2 linked regions of the Alligator mississippiensis genome follow. The protein of the gene in region 2 interacts with the protein of the main gene of each other region in a pairwise test. Links are inferred from orthologs where the notes say so. Each region holds a gene or a part of one and is shown on either strand. Other genes may lie near its edges.

Region 1 (7,880 bases), on a different chromosome or scaffold from region 2:
TTAAACACATATCATATCAAGCAGACTGAAAGACCCCCGGTCATCCTTTCCAAATCACAACAGCTGAAGCAGAGCATGAGAGGCTAGTAATACCAGAACAAAATCCATGCAAAGGGACACGACAATGCAGTAAGTTTCTTGAAGGAGACACCAAAGTTAGTTTGCTTCTAGACCTTGCAGGGGGCCAAGGAAATGATTTCTAGTCTGTTCCAGAGCAATCCCTGCGCTCTTGGAAGACCAAATGTTTCAAGGAGTTGAAACAGATACAGAGCCTCTCAGTTTCCCTTTTTTCAAGACACTTTCACCAAGACTCCAAGTCATTACCAATGATGGCTGCCAGGCAGTCTAAGTGAAAGGGGCAGACGCTTCCTCAACCTGACAAAGGGCTTTTGTGCCTAAAAGCTTGCTAAGAAGAATTTTTCCAACTATTTGAGTGGGCTAATAAAAGATATTGGATTTACCCAAAGAACTTTGTCTGCCTAGGGGCTTGTGGTCTCACTCCAGCCTGTAGCTGAGGAACATTTACATCATGTGAAGCACAATGACAGCATGCGCCAATGGGAACCTTGGTTGGTACAGCAAAAAGACAAATGGGTTGGGAGAACCAGCTTATTCTTCCTTAAAGTACACAAGTTTTACTATTTGAAGAACAATTGCAGTGCTGTAGGAGAGATAACGGCACTGAACATACCAACTATTCTGCCAGGAAAGGCTCAAGCATTGTAAAAGTGCTCAGCATTTAAGTCACTTTATAAAACCTCATCACGAAAGGTTTGTGCACGTGGAGAGGAGGGAGATGATGGACTGTGCTTAGTACTAAGACTCGACAGCCCTTTTTTTTTTTTTTTTTTTTTTACAGTATTCATTATGCTGGTCAGCAGTGCCCCTCTGCATACACAGCCAGGTTCAATACCACTGCAATTTTATCACCGTTGGCTGACTCATTCTTCATTTTGAACATCAGAGAATTTTAGTACAATAAATGTATTTCACCACAACAGCATTTGTGTTCATTTTACAAACATTACCAATGCATTTTTATTTGACAAATAATTGCCCCTCCACAGCTAACCGTGACAAGAGCAGTGTGTATTTTAGTCAATGGTTTGAAATAGTCCTTTAAGCACAATGCACATTTAACATCAAAATTTGTATTGTAACGTGTGTGTGTGTGTGTGTGTGTGTGTGTGTTGAATAAGAATTAATTATTTTGATGCAATGCAGAAATAAAAGTTAAGTTTTGCATAATCTAGTGGCATTCTTCCTATTAGCTGACTGGTTAGGAGCAACTGCTTGACATACAGATGAATAACTATTCTGGAAAATTATACATCACAATGCTAATGCAAACTAGCATCTGACTTTCTGGATAATGACAACTTAACTAGCTCACAGCCTGCAGTCCCTTCCCTTGTCCCTCTCTACCTCCCACCCTTCTGGGCTTTTCCTTGGTAGACTGCATTCCTGACAACCTGTTTCAGATCGATTTCCTTCTCTACTATGATGAACATACACAAATCACAATACAAATACCCTTCAGCTTTCCTCATTCCAGGGGTTCCGCAAAAGCCTCACTTCCCACACACAAACTCCAACTCAAAGCTGTGACACCGCATTGCACCCACTATAGGGTTTAAAACAGTAGACTTCACAATTCATTTCTAAGGAATGAAAAATGGGATGTAACAAAGCATGTTCAAAATTGGTCATCCAACCAAACAGGTTACACTGAATGAATCTTAGCACTATTTCATATTACCAGGCATCTCTAAGGCTCAAAGAAATCATAGATATGCCAAGTCTATCACAGCTAGAAGGCATTTTGATTCTATGTAAGACATGTTAGAGCTTAAAACAGTTTGTTAAATACACTCCTAGTGCCCTGTCCATAGCTCTTTGCTTGCCTCAGATCCAACAGGGAGGTAATGTTTTAGTTCTGTGGCACCTTTTGTGCTGGAAAGTCCCTTCAAAATGTTCCCTATCCCCAAGGAAATGTGATCACTGTGCAGGAGATGATAGTGCCTATGGCTCTGGGGAGAAGGCCAAAAGCCTGCTGAATGCAGCGGTGCCAGGCACCGGGTCAGTCTGAGGCACTTAACCGGATTCGCATTCTCAACCTCTATGTCTCCCCTTCCTAGAATGAGACTCTAGTTTCAAGGGTTGTAAAGAAAAGCCTTCCAGCCTGGAGGCAGGCATGAGCCCAGGCGGCACTGAGGCAGCGTTATCATCCACCTGTCCTTGAAGACCGCCTGGACCTGCTAGCTTGGAAGGCATCCTCCCTTCGCTGCAGTGTCCCAGTATTGCTGCCACATCGCTCCCTCGCTCTTCCATCAGAGCAAGGGGCACAGGCACTGAGACCCTCAACCCCTCCCGCTTGCAGAGGGAGAGACCAGGACGCAGAGCGCCAACGCCACCTGCCCAGGCAGAAGCAGGGCACTGGTCTCCTAGCATGAAGGTCACTGCTGCAGCCTGAGAGCTGGCCCTTCATGAACCTACGTGGCATGAAGGAGCACGGGCACAGGATGACTGCGTGAACAAGGAGCCAGGGCAGCCGTACATGGGCCTGACGTATGCCCACAAGTGCCCACAGGCATGCGCGCCACCACACACCCAGGCGTGTGCACACATGAACCCACGCATGCTCGCACACATGTGCATGTTCTCACGCACCCACGCATACCCACAAACATGCTCGTGCACACACGCACCCACGGGTGCTCAGACATGCGCGTGTGCGCACGCGGGGGCACACGCGCACACGTGTGCACACCTGCTCATCCTGCCACGGGGTCTTACACCGGCGGCAGCAACAGGCAGCGGCCGGGCCAGGGCGCCCCCCGCAGCGCAGGGGGCCCAGCCGCCCGGGGGAACGCAGCGCCGCACCTCCTCTCGCAGCGCCTCACCTGCCACGGGCGGGACACGCCCCCTCCCCCGCTGCTCGCCCCAGGACCCGGCGGGGAAGCTACCCCCTCCGGCGTTCATTCACTTCCGCCCCAATGAAGCATCACTTCCGCCCCTACTTGGCATCACTTCCGTTTGCGCCTAGGTCCCGCTTCGTTCTAGAACGGTTCCCTCCTCTACAGGCAGGCAGCGTCCCGCAGTGCGCAGGCGTGATTTGGAACGCGGCGGCTTGGCGGTTGCTGGGCTATTCTGCCAGGGGAGGGGGCAGCTTGCTAGTGGGAGCATGGGGCAGGCTGGGGCTCTTTGCCCTGGGCAGCTGCATCGCCCCCCCTCCCCCCCCCCCCCCAGCAGTGTTGCCAGCATTCACGAGCTGGCCCCTGCAGGGAGCAAGGGTCTTATGGGTTTTGTGGCAATATTTACTGTACTGAGCCCATGCAGCAAGTGCTATGGCTGCTCCTAGTGCTAACACCTTGAAGGGCCTGAGAGGACCACACTGTGCTCCAGAGCCGCGCGTCCCACCTGCTGCCTTCCTCCACAACTTGGGAATGCTGCTGATGCGTGCCTCGAGGTGCACCGTGGCCATACCAACTGCTGGCAAAAGTTCTGCCAAACTGCCTGTGCACCTCTGCACGCTCATGGCACACAGTGCAGCTCTGCTTTGCACCGTGACCTCTGGAATAGCTGGTACCCAGTCCAGGAGTATCTATCTACATGGTGGCAGCGGAAGCCTCGCTCTGTGCTGCAGAGAGGCTGTGCCACCGCAGACTGGCTTTGAGCCAGAACTCGGGAGTTTTGCTGGCAGAGCTCTTGTTGTGGAGAAGAGTCACCTGCCCATGCTTCCCTATCGTAACACCCTTCTGCTTAGCTGTAACGAAAGGGAAGGAGGTCACGGTCCCCTTGGCCTGGTTGCAACCCTCAGGCTGACAGCTTCTACCTTGACAGGACGTCCCTTATAACTAGGGTAGCCATACATCCCAGTTTGGCTGGGACAGTGCTGTATTTTGTAGGTCCTCTTGGCATCCCAGCCGGTTGGTGAAATTGAAACGAAAGTCCTGGAATCGGCCACCTAACATGATTGCTTCTTTCTCTGCTGACTCTACTGAGCATGAGTATACAGCAGCAGAGCCAGCCTTAGGGAAAAGGGTGCCCTGGGTGAACTTGTACTTTGGAACCCCTTTCCTCCCTCCTCCACCCAGGTCAGCAGCGCTGCTGCAGGCTTGGGCATGCGGTGCAGTCCAGAAGGAAGGTAGGCAGGCATTGTTGCTACTGTGCAGGAGCAAGGTGTGCAGACTGCCTCAGGTACCACCCGGCCCACACGTTCCCTGCTTGGCTCCTGAGCAGCATCTGGAGGTGCAGGGGGTCAGCTAGAGGTAGGGGAGCAGGCCAGGCTGGGCACTGCTCCAGTTTGCCCATCTTGCTCCAGCACAGCAGCAACCTGCCTGGCACACCATGCCACTCTTTCACTTGGTTTTCTTTAAAATAATATGGTCATCATGCCTATAGCCATCCTTTGTGTTTACATTGCCAACCTTGCTTCTGGATGCCTTTCTGCTTCTCTCTGTCTCAGCTTTGGGGAAAGATGAGAAAGAAGGAATATCTGGCTTGTGCCTTTGCCTCATCTCCCACCAATGGACCTGGGTGATATTATACTGCCTTTTAAAAGTGATGAACATTTGTTCAAATATTTTAATGAGTTTTCATTGGTTATGCTTGCTCCCTTTTCACATAGACACAGAAAGGAAACCTATCTGAGCAAACAGTGTTTGCTGGCACAAACATTCTTGAAAACTGAATCTCAAAGCGGTATGTGCAAATATTAATCATAATGAAGTTTGAGGGTCCATGTGCAAGTCATCCTGCCAGAGGTGTCTGCATGCACATCTAGGATCAGAAACAATTCCATGCGTCTTATCTAACTGGTTACAACTTAATCAGTGCTATTTGAATAGCAAAGATTAAGTACTACCAAGAATGGTTGATGCATAGATTTAAAGCCAATGCACAGAAAGCAACACCCCCCCCCCCACACACACGGATTACTCAAATAATTTCAAATTGTGAATATATTTAAGGAAATCATGATCTGCTCATGCATATTCACAGGGAAAAGGCTAAATTCATTACATAAATTACTTACTGCACATTTTTCACACTGTTCCACTCATTTGCGGTAGGAACCATTGTCATGAACATTTGTTGCAGGCTAAGGCAGAGAGCATTATTAAATATGATGAAATTGCAAAGCAAATTAGCAGCCAGCAGCCTAACATTTCATGAGCCCACGAGAGGTTAAGTGCAGTGCTGGTGCCTGTGAAGTCTTAATGAGGGGACCAGGCCACTGACCTGTGTAGAGCTTAAAGGGTACTGAAAGGACAAGGAGATAGGGCACAGGGTGAGACTGGGTGAAAATCTCGGAGACGAAGAAGTTATGAGAAATGTAAAAGTCTGCCAGAAACTATGCAGAGAAGGAAAGCAATAAGACCTAGCAGAATCTGAGCAAGGAGCATGTGTGTGGGTGTCAAGACCTGTCAGAAACAGAATAGGGGAGCGGATGTAGAAGCAGCAATCCAATCTATTCTGATCCATTTTTATTTATATACTGCTGATGGAAAGCCCTTCAAGTGCTTTACAATTACTCAGATAAAAATTCAATTCAATACACTCTGGAAATTCAAAGCAAAGAGAGAGGAGGTGGGTGCTGGGTTGGGGCAGCCCCACAGAGAATGAGAGAAGAAAGGTAGTAACAGACCTGCTGCAGGCAGATGGCAGAGAAAGAATTAACAGAATTGGGCTGATAAAATGAAGACTGAGAACCCCAGTATGCCCGGGGGGGGGGGGGGGGGGGGGGGGCAAGAGAGCAGTAAGACTGGGGTCTACTAAGAACTGGTAGCAGGATTGGCATAATCCCAGTAAAACACTGGTGGCAGGTAGGAAGTAATAATATATTTATCTCCACTACTGATTATGTATCAAAAACCTACCCCCTGGAGACAAGGCTCAGGGAACTGGAAGATATGTTTGGACTGGGCCATTAAAAAAATCTTGAGGCAAATGAGAAAAGCAGCTGTTTTACCAGCATTTAATTCAGCTAAAAAAGCAAGCTGACAGGGCTCACATCTGTCTTACTTCATCTCTCTACCCACACAATTTGTCAGCAGATAGAGTGGCATCACTCTCAGCCAGTGAAACAATGGATAAAAATCCATATCTCTCCAGAACAATTTTCTTTGACTGTTTAATGCTCCTGAGGACAGGACCCAGTTACATAAACTGGTACAGAGAGCTGATTAATCCAGCTACAGGCTTCATTCTTCCTGCCAGTACTCCGCATTGGCAAATTTGAGTAAACAAAATAAAAATTGGATAGTATATTGTTCTTTTCCCTGATTAAGGGCATAGTACTGCCCATTGTTTCATAAAATAGGTAAGATATAGAGAGCTCCCTCTCCCTGTGCAATCAACAGGGCCTACTTTTTCTAGAGTGCAAGGAGGTAGGTCTAGCTAATTTGCCAAACCATGCATCACATCCCTGAAAGGGCATTGTCTGTAGGCTAGAGAGTATGTCTGGGCTGGCGTTCAGTCAGCTACTGCACAAGATGACACCCACAGGACACAAGAAGAGCAGGCCTACTATTTGTAATTTGGGGAGCTGTAAATAGCACCTAACACAGTGCATTGTGACATGCTTTTTCAGCCATCTCACTGCTAGTGGCAGAGTGCCCTTAACCTGTTTAACAAAACCAGATGTTTGGCCTGATTCTCCAAGTTGGCTGTCCTTATGCTTTGCCTGCTGTGGCTTGTCAGAAACAGAAGCCTAACTGGGCGCAAGTGGCTGATCTGGAGAAGCTAAAGGGGCACTTAGATTTCCCCATGCTTTTTCAGTACTTTCAAAGCTCTCGCTATATAATTATCTACAGGTCTTAGTCTGTCTGCTGGAGTCTCCATTACAGTAATATTTAAACACTTTCACAGAGTCCAGAGTACTTACAATAGACTGGGCTTTTTCCCCCTGTAAGCTTGACTCACTACTGATATCTATACAGAAATCCATCATTCATTTATACTTCTATCATAGACATAAACTCATGTTTAAAAAACAACACTTGCAATTCATTTGGACAATTTTTCATTTTTGTGAAACTGTACCCTTAATCTAGGAAGTTTTTTCCTAGGTAAAAAATATCAAATAGCTGAGCACCTTGTTTAATTTGTTCTTTCTGGTGCTGCAATGTCCCTTAGCAAACACAGCCACATTCAGCAAGTAATACATACTTCTGTTTTCTCAGCTGAAAAATATGAATAATATTGATCAACCTTTGAGTTCTGACCATGAAGAATCTCCATCTTTGGAAATTTTCAAGCGTAGATTGCACCAACACTTGGCTGGGATGGTTTAGTTAGGGACAATTTTCCTTGAGCAGGGTACTGGACTAAATTCCCTTTCAGTCCTACTTTCTTGTATCCTATGAGATCTTCAGCCTGAAAAGTGCCAAGTGCTATTGTTATACGTTGCACCAAGTTTTAATAAGAGAACTCCAGCAACTGAAAAGAAGGTGTGGAAAAGGAAGGTAAGCAGAACTTTGGGTGTGTGCAGGTACATGTATTTTTTGGAGGTGACTCAAGTTTCTCCTGATCTGTTGAATACCACTTGCCAAATTGTAACAAGCTGATTCTCACCTTTGCACAGGGTCAGGCCAAAGCCAGAAAACAGATCAGCTTTAACTGCAGAATTCCCTGCAATTTGAAATTTCTTCAGATCTGAGGTTTGGAACTGAACTAGCCTGATAGTCAGGGATGTTTGGACCTCAGGCTTTGATTCAGGCCCAACACTAATTTTCCCCATACGGTAACAGACATAAGAATGGCTTACAATAAATGGGGAGCTCTTCCTAGTTCTGTTCCCTAATCAGTTTTGGATAGGTAGCATTTCCCTTTAATGCATAGTATTTCTCAGTACATGCTTCCATAATAGTGGGATC
Region 2 (7,944 bases):
AGCTTTAGTGCTTCCTCCAAGAAGGCCATAGTCTGCTTGGTAAAAGCAACCACAGTGTAGCTAAGATTGACCCAGCAGTCATCACCTGTGTACTGGTCAAAACTGCCCACACCACAACTTCTCATTTCCTCTCTAAGTTTTCCCAGAGCCTCGGGAGTCATCAGGTTCATCTTTCTCCACATCTCTTCAGAGTTGCGATGCTTGGTGGCCTCAATGATGATATCCTTGTAGCTCTGCAGAGCACCTTTGATGTCTTTCACCAGCAGGGTGTGAATGATGAAGGTAAGGTCCAGTCCAATCTCACTAAGCTGCTTACAGTGCTCCTTAGCTACCTACAATAACAAACATCATTATTAATACTTATCTATATGCCACATAGACACAAGCTACTTAACCACCCCAACACCCATAAAAATAGGTAATTCTTAGTCCTAATTTGCATACCTGAAAAATAAGGCAGTGATTACGAGTCTGGAAAAGAATACACACTGCACTTTATTCTGCCTCTCTTTAACTTATGTATCTAACTTTTTTAAATGACAGAAATACAGATCCTGTCTATCATAAATGTCTGTAGTGTTTTACAGAAATGATTGAGAGTAGATTCAGGCTAGACATCAGGAGGCATTACTTCACAGTCATGGCGGCTAGGATCTGGAACCAACTTCCAAGGGAAGTGGTGCTCGCTCCCAACTTGGGGGTCTTCAAAAGGAGGCTAGATAAATCGCCTACCCGGGTTCATTTGATCCCATCATTCTTTCCTGCTCGTGGCAGGGAGTCAGACTTGATGATCTGCTCAGGTCCCTTCCGACCCTATCAACTATGAAACATAATTATGATAAAGATGTCACAGTTTAGCAACTGGGAAATAAAGGAGTTCAGTATTTTTCTTGAAAGCCTATGTTAAGGCATATTCAAATCCAATCCAATAAATATTTTGTAGAAAAGGATTCTTTGCTAAAGTTCCAATACTCCCACTCTTTTAAGTAAGGCCAAAACCAGCATTTCTGATAATAGTGGGGCAAAACACAAACAGAAGAAAGGCAATGCAAAGCCCTCCACACCCTCCCTTTACTAAAGAAGGGAAGCTATAGGTGAATCTGTTTTACCACCTCCTGCCCAAAAACAGTAAGTTAGCTGAGAGAGAACGAGACATCCAGGGCTGCAGAATTCCAGGTTTCTGCTCAATCGACTGGACTGTGCTGCCTTTCTTATACGTGCTTACCTTCACACATTCAGCAGCAGTTGACAAGCTCTCTTTGCTGTCAAACACCTGCTTGCTGAAGGCATCTACAAACATCTTCATGGCAGAGCGTGCCCACACAACGAAGGCGGAGTAGCAGCCGCTGTTACCAGCAAAGTCTGTCTCAAACTCCCTGGCAGTCTCCAGCAGGCTGGTGAAAAACACGTGGCAGAGCTTGTGGATGTACAGCAGAGTGGCACCTTCAATGCGCAGCTGACGGATGGCCGTGTGCACAGCAGCCGCCCGGTTCTTCAAGAACAGCTCGCAAGCCTTGGTTGATTGACCCAAGCGAATGAGCTGAGAGACAGCCCGGCGGGTAGCCCTTGGCCCACCACGCAGTGAGCGATCTGGAGAGAGCTCAAACACCAGCACATCCGTGAGCTGCCTAACTCTCTCATCCACTTTCGCCCGGAGCTCCCTCACCGGCTGGCTGATGGGCTTGTCTGCCAAATACTCGTTTAGCTTATCCAGCAGGTCAACTGCACCCTCAAAATCCCTCTGGGCGATGCAGACATCCAGGTCCTCAGGAAGCTCCTGGATCCACTCCAGGGACAGATCCACTTTTTCCTCCTCAGGTGGAGGCTCCACTTCATCCTCATCCTTCTCGAAGGGGTTGGATGACTCTGGAGAGGGCAGGGCTGCTCGCGGCAGAGCCTCCTGCTCCAGCCGCAGCTTCTCGCTCAGGGCGCGGCTCCGCTTGGTCTCCTCCAGCACCTCCAGCCACTCCTTCTTGATCTTGGCGTTCTCAGCCTGGAAGATGCGGCCCTCAGGGAACATGAGCAGCTTGAACATGTCCTTCATGGGCGGGTTGTCCTTGACGTTGACAACAGCCAGCCCGTCCAGCGGGTAGAGGGCGTCGTAGCGGTAGGCACCACGCCGGTTGGGCAACCAGGTGGCCACCAGCAGGCAGTCATTCATGAGGAAGGCGTGCACTCGCTGCACCTGCGCCATGTGGTCAGCGTCATACTCCACCAGGTCCCCGTTGTACACCAGGTACTTGCCGGGGCTCTCGGGCAGCAGATCCCGGCAGCCCTCCACCTTCTCCAGCAGCGTGGTAAGCGTGCGCTGCCGGCCCTCCTCGCTGGCCGCCACCTCCTTGGCCGACAGGGGCAGGAAGGGGTTGTTGACGCGAGAGTCGGTGGCGGCACGGCGGGCACCCAGCGCGGGGTCGTCGCGGTCGGCCTGCAGCAGCAGGGCCTGGGTGACAGCCTCCATGATGCCCTTCTGCTCGGTGAGGATGTGGCTGAGCTGGTACATCTCGCTCTCCAGGTAGCTGATCTCGCGCGCTGTCTCGATGAACTGCCGGTAGTTCTGGTAGACGTTGCGCTTCAGGCTCTGCGCCGTCTCCTCGCTCAGCGCCTGGATGCGCTGCCGGTGCTCCTGCAGGTCCCGGTCGCCGTCCGACTGCTGAGACAGCTGCTTCACGTACTCACCCGCCGCGAAGCTCCCCAACTCCAGCTGCCGCCGCAGCCGGCTGCTCCCGGGCCCGCTGCTGCTGCTGCTGCTGCTGCCGCCGCCCCCCGCCGCCAGCCCGCCCTCGCCCAGCGCCAGCGCCATGGCCTCACCCGCCGCCCGCCACGGGCCGCCAGACGCTACCACCGCGCATGCGTCCCGCCGCGACGATAGTCGCGCTCTTTTGACGTTAGGCGCATGCGCACTAAGGAGCGACTACCCGGCACAGGCGATTTGACAGAGCACGCGCAGATAGAATGGCGTTTCTTCCCCTGCGACGCGGAGGAATGGGAGGCTGCGCAGTGCGCATGTGCCACAGCGGCGTGCTTCCAACGATACAGTGAGTGGGGTGATGCGCATGTGCTGAAGGCGGAGGGGGGCGGGTAGGGAGGGATGCGCATGCGCCAACGGCAGGGGTGGGTGGAAGGTTGTGTAGACTGCATTGCGCATGCACTAACGGCGGGGTTGGAGCTGGGAGGGGCTACGTGCCGGATTGCGCATGCGCAGTTGCGCACAGCAAGCGCCTCAACGGTCGTGAGAGCCGGGCGCATGGAACGGCTGCCGCGGTATCATGGACGCGGACTTCCTGATGGCGCTGCACCTGCAGGCGCAGTGGGAGGCGGGGGAAGAAGAGAAGGAGGTAGCGGCCGGCGCCCGCCCCGAGCCGCCCGCGCGGCCCCTCTCCGTAGTGGACGAGTCCTGGGAGCTGCTGGACCCGAGTCCGGACGTGCACGGCCTCTTCGTGCAGTTCAACCAGGAGCTGTTCTGGGGGCGGCTGGCGGCCGTGGAGGTGTCGTGGAGCTCGCGGATGACGCTGTACGCGGGGGAGGGAGGGCTTGCACCCCGATATGTGCGCGCGCACTCTCTCTGCCCCGGGGGCCCTTTCCTGCCTTGCCAGCAAGGCTTCCTGCTGCAACCTGAAGCTCCCACTTCACGGCCCCCGCAGGCAGGCTGTTTGTAACCAATTTTAGCCACGTGTCATTTGTTTAATGCTAGCTCAAAATGTTCGTTGGAGTGCGTCCATGCATCCCTCAGGTGGGGTGAGGTAATCGTGGATGGTCCTGTTTTGACCTCCTGAGCTCAGGTGATAGTGAACTTGGGTGTGGGAATCAATCCCATGATAGATGCTGAAGCTGGCTTGATTTTGTGTTATGGATCTGAAGGAGACAGACAGTTAATTCTCGAGGACGGGGCTAAAGAAATGCCGCCTCCTGGTTTTTTTTTGCCTCATTCGTTCCGTTGGGGGCGGGGTATACAAAACATGGGATATAGCAAATGGATGCACGTTCCAGTGAAGCTGTACTGGTTTTTCCCTTCTGGTTAAGTGGAACAGCACAGCCCCAGGCCCCAAGCCTGTTGGGAAAGCTTCTAGTTTCTTTTTACCCAGAGAATTATGCACCTCAGTGTCTGCACCCCCCTTCTCCAAATCCTATTTTTGCCCATGCTCCCAGCCCTGATGCCTGGCCTCTTCCCTGCTGGCTTTCTCAGCTTTGGGACTCCTGTCTATTGGCAGTAATAGCAGCAGCCCCAGGCTTTGTTGGGAACCTGGCTCCTTTGTCCTCACTGCTGTGTCTGAGTGCTGGCTCCTCAGGGGTGAGTTGGAGCAGCCACCTGGCTCTGCTTTGGTCCCCTTAAAGACCTAGAGTAGTTTTTGGGGTTTTGGGTTTTTTTGACATTATGTTTTCCACATCCGCACAAGGTAAAACTTGGTCCAAGTACAAAATCTTTCCCAAACTGCATGTCAGGCTTGAGATTTTGGTACTTGCACTGTCTTTGTAGCAGGGCCATAGCTGTCTGCTCTGTTTTTATGAGGTGCATTTATTTTTTAAATGCAGCAGCAGAAAGTTGTAGATTTCGGCGAAGGGCAACACTCAGCAGATCTGCACTGCAAAGAACAGGTTTGGGCTTCTGTTTCCTGTTCTGTGCAAGGCCTGAGTTGTTTTTTAAATGAAAGTGCTGGTTTGTAGACAGAACAGGTCACCTTTGAATGCACAAATGGTATGTCTCAAGTTCTTAACTCTGAATCAAGTGTTATCAAATGGAAGCAAGTAAATTGTGGGTCATGGATTGTTGTTTTTTGTTTGTTTGTTGGGGGGGGTTGATAGTGCTTACCAAGATGACCTTTTCTAGTCTGTACTGTAAAAGGATTTAATACTTGAAAGGACTTGATTCTTAGTTTAGCAAGGTTGAATAGTTATCTGAAGGAGAGCTCTTTTTCAAGTACAGCTTACTTCAGCTATGTTAAGAGGGATCAGTATTTGTAAATCTACTTCTCAACTCTGCTCTGCCAGCTATGAAAGTAAATGGGAATTGTACGTTCTGTTTGTATTTCTCTTTCAGCTGTGCTGGCGTGTGCAGCTACGAAGGAAGGGGTGGAATATGTTCCATCCGCCTAAGTGAACCGTTGTTAAAGCTAAGACCAAGGAAGGACCTTGTAGAGGTATTTTAAGACTGACTGCTTATTATCTCTGTTAAAGGATAGCTGATAGTTTGCAAGGGAGGCTTTATTCACAGTGCTTTGTAGATTGTGAAGTAGCTTTTGGTTTTCTAAGAACCTTGTGTTTGGTGTTTTATTGTTAGTTGTTTAAACATGTAAATTGTTAATCTGTCAGTCACAACTTTTATTTAAACTGATGCTTTTCTGACTCCCTTAACTTTCAAAAAAATCCCCCAAATTAGCTTTCTGGCTCTTGAAATGCTCCTTCCAACTGTTTAAAAGTTTACTCTGCCATTTAGAGTGCAAAATAAAGTAGTTCAGTTTTACTTCTAGGTCAAACAGCCCAGTTACCCAAAAGCAAAGATGCGGGGTTTGACTATAAATGTAAGCTTCATGCTGTTCTTTGCCTCTCTGCTAAGAATTTATGAGAGTTAATTGCCATTCAAGCTGTGAGTGTAAACTACTGTTCTGCACCTGCTATGAGTCAAAGCCCAGGACAGTTGGATCTGGGGTACACCTGACCTCTTTTTACCCTGGTTTTCCAGGTTCCCCTTTGAACTATTTGGATGTAAACAGATGTTGCCTTTTGTTAGCCTATTTAAGTACTTGTGAAGTATGTAAGATATGGAACAGAAGATCCTAATGTAGTCTCTGTCCCACTTCAAGTACTTGTGAAGTATAGGATACAAGATAGGCAAACACTTTTTTCTAGGGCAATGCTGTGGTAACTAAGTTGAAAGTAATTCATGTGAGTTAGTTGCCAGTTGTTCCAGGGACAAGCCTGTCAGGCTGTTTGTTCTGGTGACTGAGCAGCAATGTAGTGTGGAAGGTCTGTACTTTCTCTCTTACCCTGGGATTTGACTTGGGTCAATCAGGACTGCCTCAAATGAAACATCTGTTTTCCAAGCAGCTTTAAACAGGTTTAAGAGGGTTTATGCCTATCTGCTTCAGATTTAAACTGCATTATTTAAATAGGTTTAAGTATTACATGTGTCATACCCTTTGGTGTCTGCCTGCTCAGTGCACTGGCTATGCGGAATTCCATTCTGAGGCACCTAACTCCTTATTCCTTATATGGGGAGCTTAAGGGACCAACTTGGGTTTATGACACTTAGAAAATAGGCATAGATGTAGACTAGTGATAAGAAGTTTTGCAAAATGTTTGTATCTACTACTTGCAACTACTCCACTCCTTCCTAGTGAAGTATTTAAAAAAAAAAAAAACCCATGGGAAGGTAGGCAAAGTTTGGATATCGTTTCTCACAGTACGGTTCCTTAGAATGCCCTTTGGGTCATACGGAGAGAAACTTTGTGGGTTTGGCAGTTTAGAGAAGTATTGTAGTATGTTCCTGACCCCATACTTAAGTTGTAGATTCATAGAAATAGGATTCATTACCAAAATAAGTATAAAAAAATAATGGGAAAACCAACCTATAAGCTATATTTTAAATAATATACTTTTTTTTTCAAGAAACATCAGCAGTTGCTTTTTTATTTCAGACTCTATTACATGAGATGATTCACGCTCTACTGTTCGTTACTAACGATGACCGAGACCGTGACTCTCACGGGCCAGAGTTCCGTAAGCACATGCGTCGCATCAATCGCTTGACTGGAGCCAATGTTACAGTAAGTGCTTTACAGTTAACAAAATGCTATCTAGCAGATTTAAACTCTGTCTGTCTATCTGGCAGTTCAAGCATTATGTATTTACATATTCCTGAATTACCATGACTGATATATAGGCATTTCTGTAGCCAAACTGTAACCTTGGGTGGATGTGTATTCATTGCATCGTAAGGGAAATGTAGGTTGAGGTTGGTGGGGCTTTGCACTTGCCTGAACTCTGTTGTGTATTTGGCTGGGAACATGCAATTCTTCAGTTAGAATGGCTCCAGAGATTATTTTCATTTTTAGGTTTGAAGTGGCCTTATGAACTCTGAAGAAAAAGCCCTTCAGTTTTGAAAAAGAAAGGCTGGTTTGCTTTGTTTTAAGAAGTTGTTTGAGAGATTATTGGATAAATGATCTTTATGTAGTATTAACGAGAATTTTTAAATCTAAAGATGCTGACTTTTGAGGAAAGACTTTGTTTCATGTTAAAAATGGCTTCCATGCGTGCTGCATGCTGTTAGCAGCTGAACTCTGTGCCTTGCTTCAACCCTGTCGTGCATGATCATTTTCCTTATGCCCATCACCAAGGAATTGAGAGATGATATTAACACTATGCATGTAGAGATGGTGACATACATATAGCGGATGATTCTTATAAAATGGGAATAAACATTGTGACTTGACTTCCTGTTTTACATTTAGATCCATCACAACTTCCATGATGAGGTGGATTTATATCGCCAACATTGGTGGCGATGCAATGGCCCATGTCAAAATAAAAAGCCTTATTTTGGGTATGTGAAACGTTCAATGAATAGGGCACCCTCTGCAAGAGACTTCTGGTGGGTAGAGCACCAAGAATCCTGTGGAGGCACATTCACAAAAGTGAAAGAGCCAGAGAACTATTCTAAAAAAGGCAAGGAAAAAACCCAGCCAGGAAAACTTTCAAGCTCCAAACCATCTGACGATAAAGGTACTTAACTTACTTTGCTTTCCTTCTTCAAAACTATTCCTACTTGGTATAGTATCCAGGTGAACATAAATAGATGAATAAGTAGATAGTGCTATGCTAGCATTAAAAAGCTGGTACAGTTGTGCAGAGTGATCCTTGCTTTAGCTCTGACAGGGACCAGATAAAGAAAATTTAGATTTCTGGCTCTGCCTATGATGTTCTTATTTGGTGGTATTACAGATAACAAAT

The links. The genes of interacting proteins can lie anywhere in the genome.
Region 1: the proteins of EXOC8 (region 2) and WASHC1 interact in binary tests that used the Homo sapiens proteins (3 or more experiments, as listed by UniProt). The link is inferred for Alligator mississippiensis from reciprocal best matches to the Homo sapiens genes EXOC8 and WASHC1.

What each region holds. Positions count from the first base shown.
Region 1 is NC_081827.1:115,294,824-115,302,703, forward strand, and holds the start of WASHC1 (WASH complex subunit 1), read right to left. Parts: upstream 3,010-7,880; 5' UTR 2,983-3,009; coding exon 2,904-2,982; intron 2,885-2,903; exon of another isoform or gene 2,771-2,884; intron 1-2,770. UniProt on the Homo sapiens protein: Acts as a component of the WASH core complex that functions as a nucleation-promoting factor (NPF) at the surface of endosomes, where it recruits and activates the Arp2/3 complex to induce actin polymerization, playing a key role in the fission of tubules that serve as transport intermediates during endosome sorting.
Region 2 is NC_081824.1:149,731,554-149,739,497, forward strand, and holds the start of EXOC8 (exocyst complex component 8), read right to left. Parts: upstream 3,016-7,944; 5' UTR 2,801-3,015; coding exon 1,226-2,800; intron 333-1,225; coding exon 1-332. Other genes in the region: DNA-dependent metalloprotease SPRTN, read left to right, coding at 3,267-3,511, 5,036-5,135, 6,633-6,761, 7,446-7,716. UniProt on the Homo sapiens protein: Component of the exocyst complex involved in the docking of exocytic vesicles with fusion sites on the plasma membrane.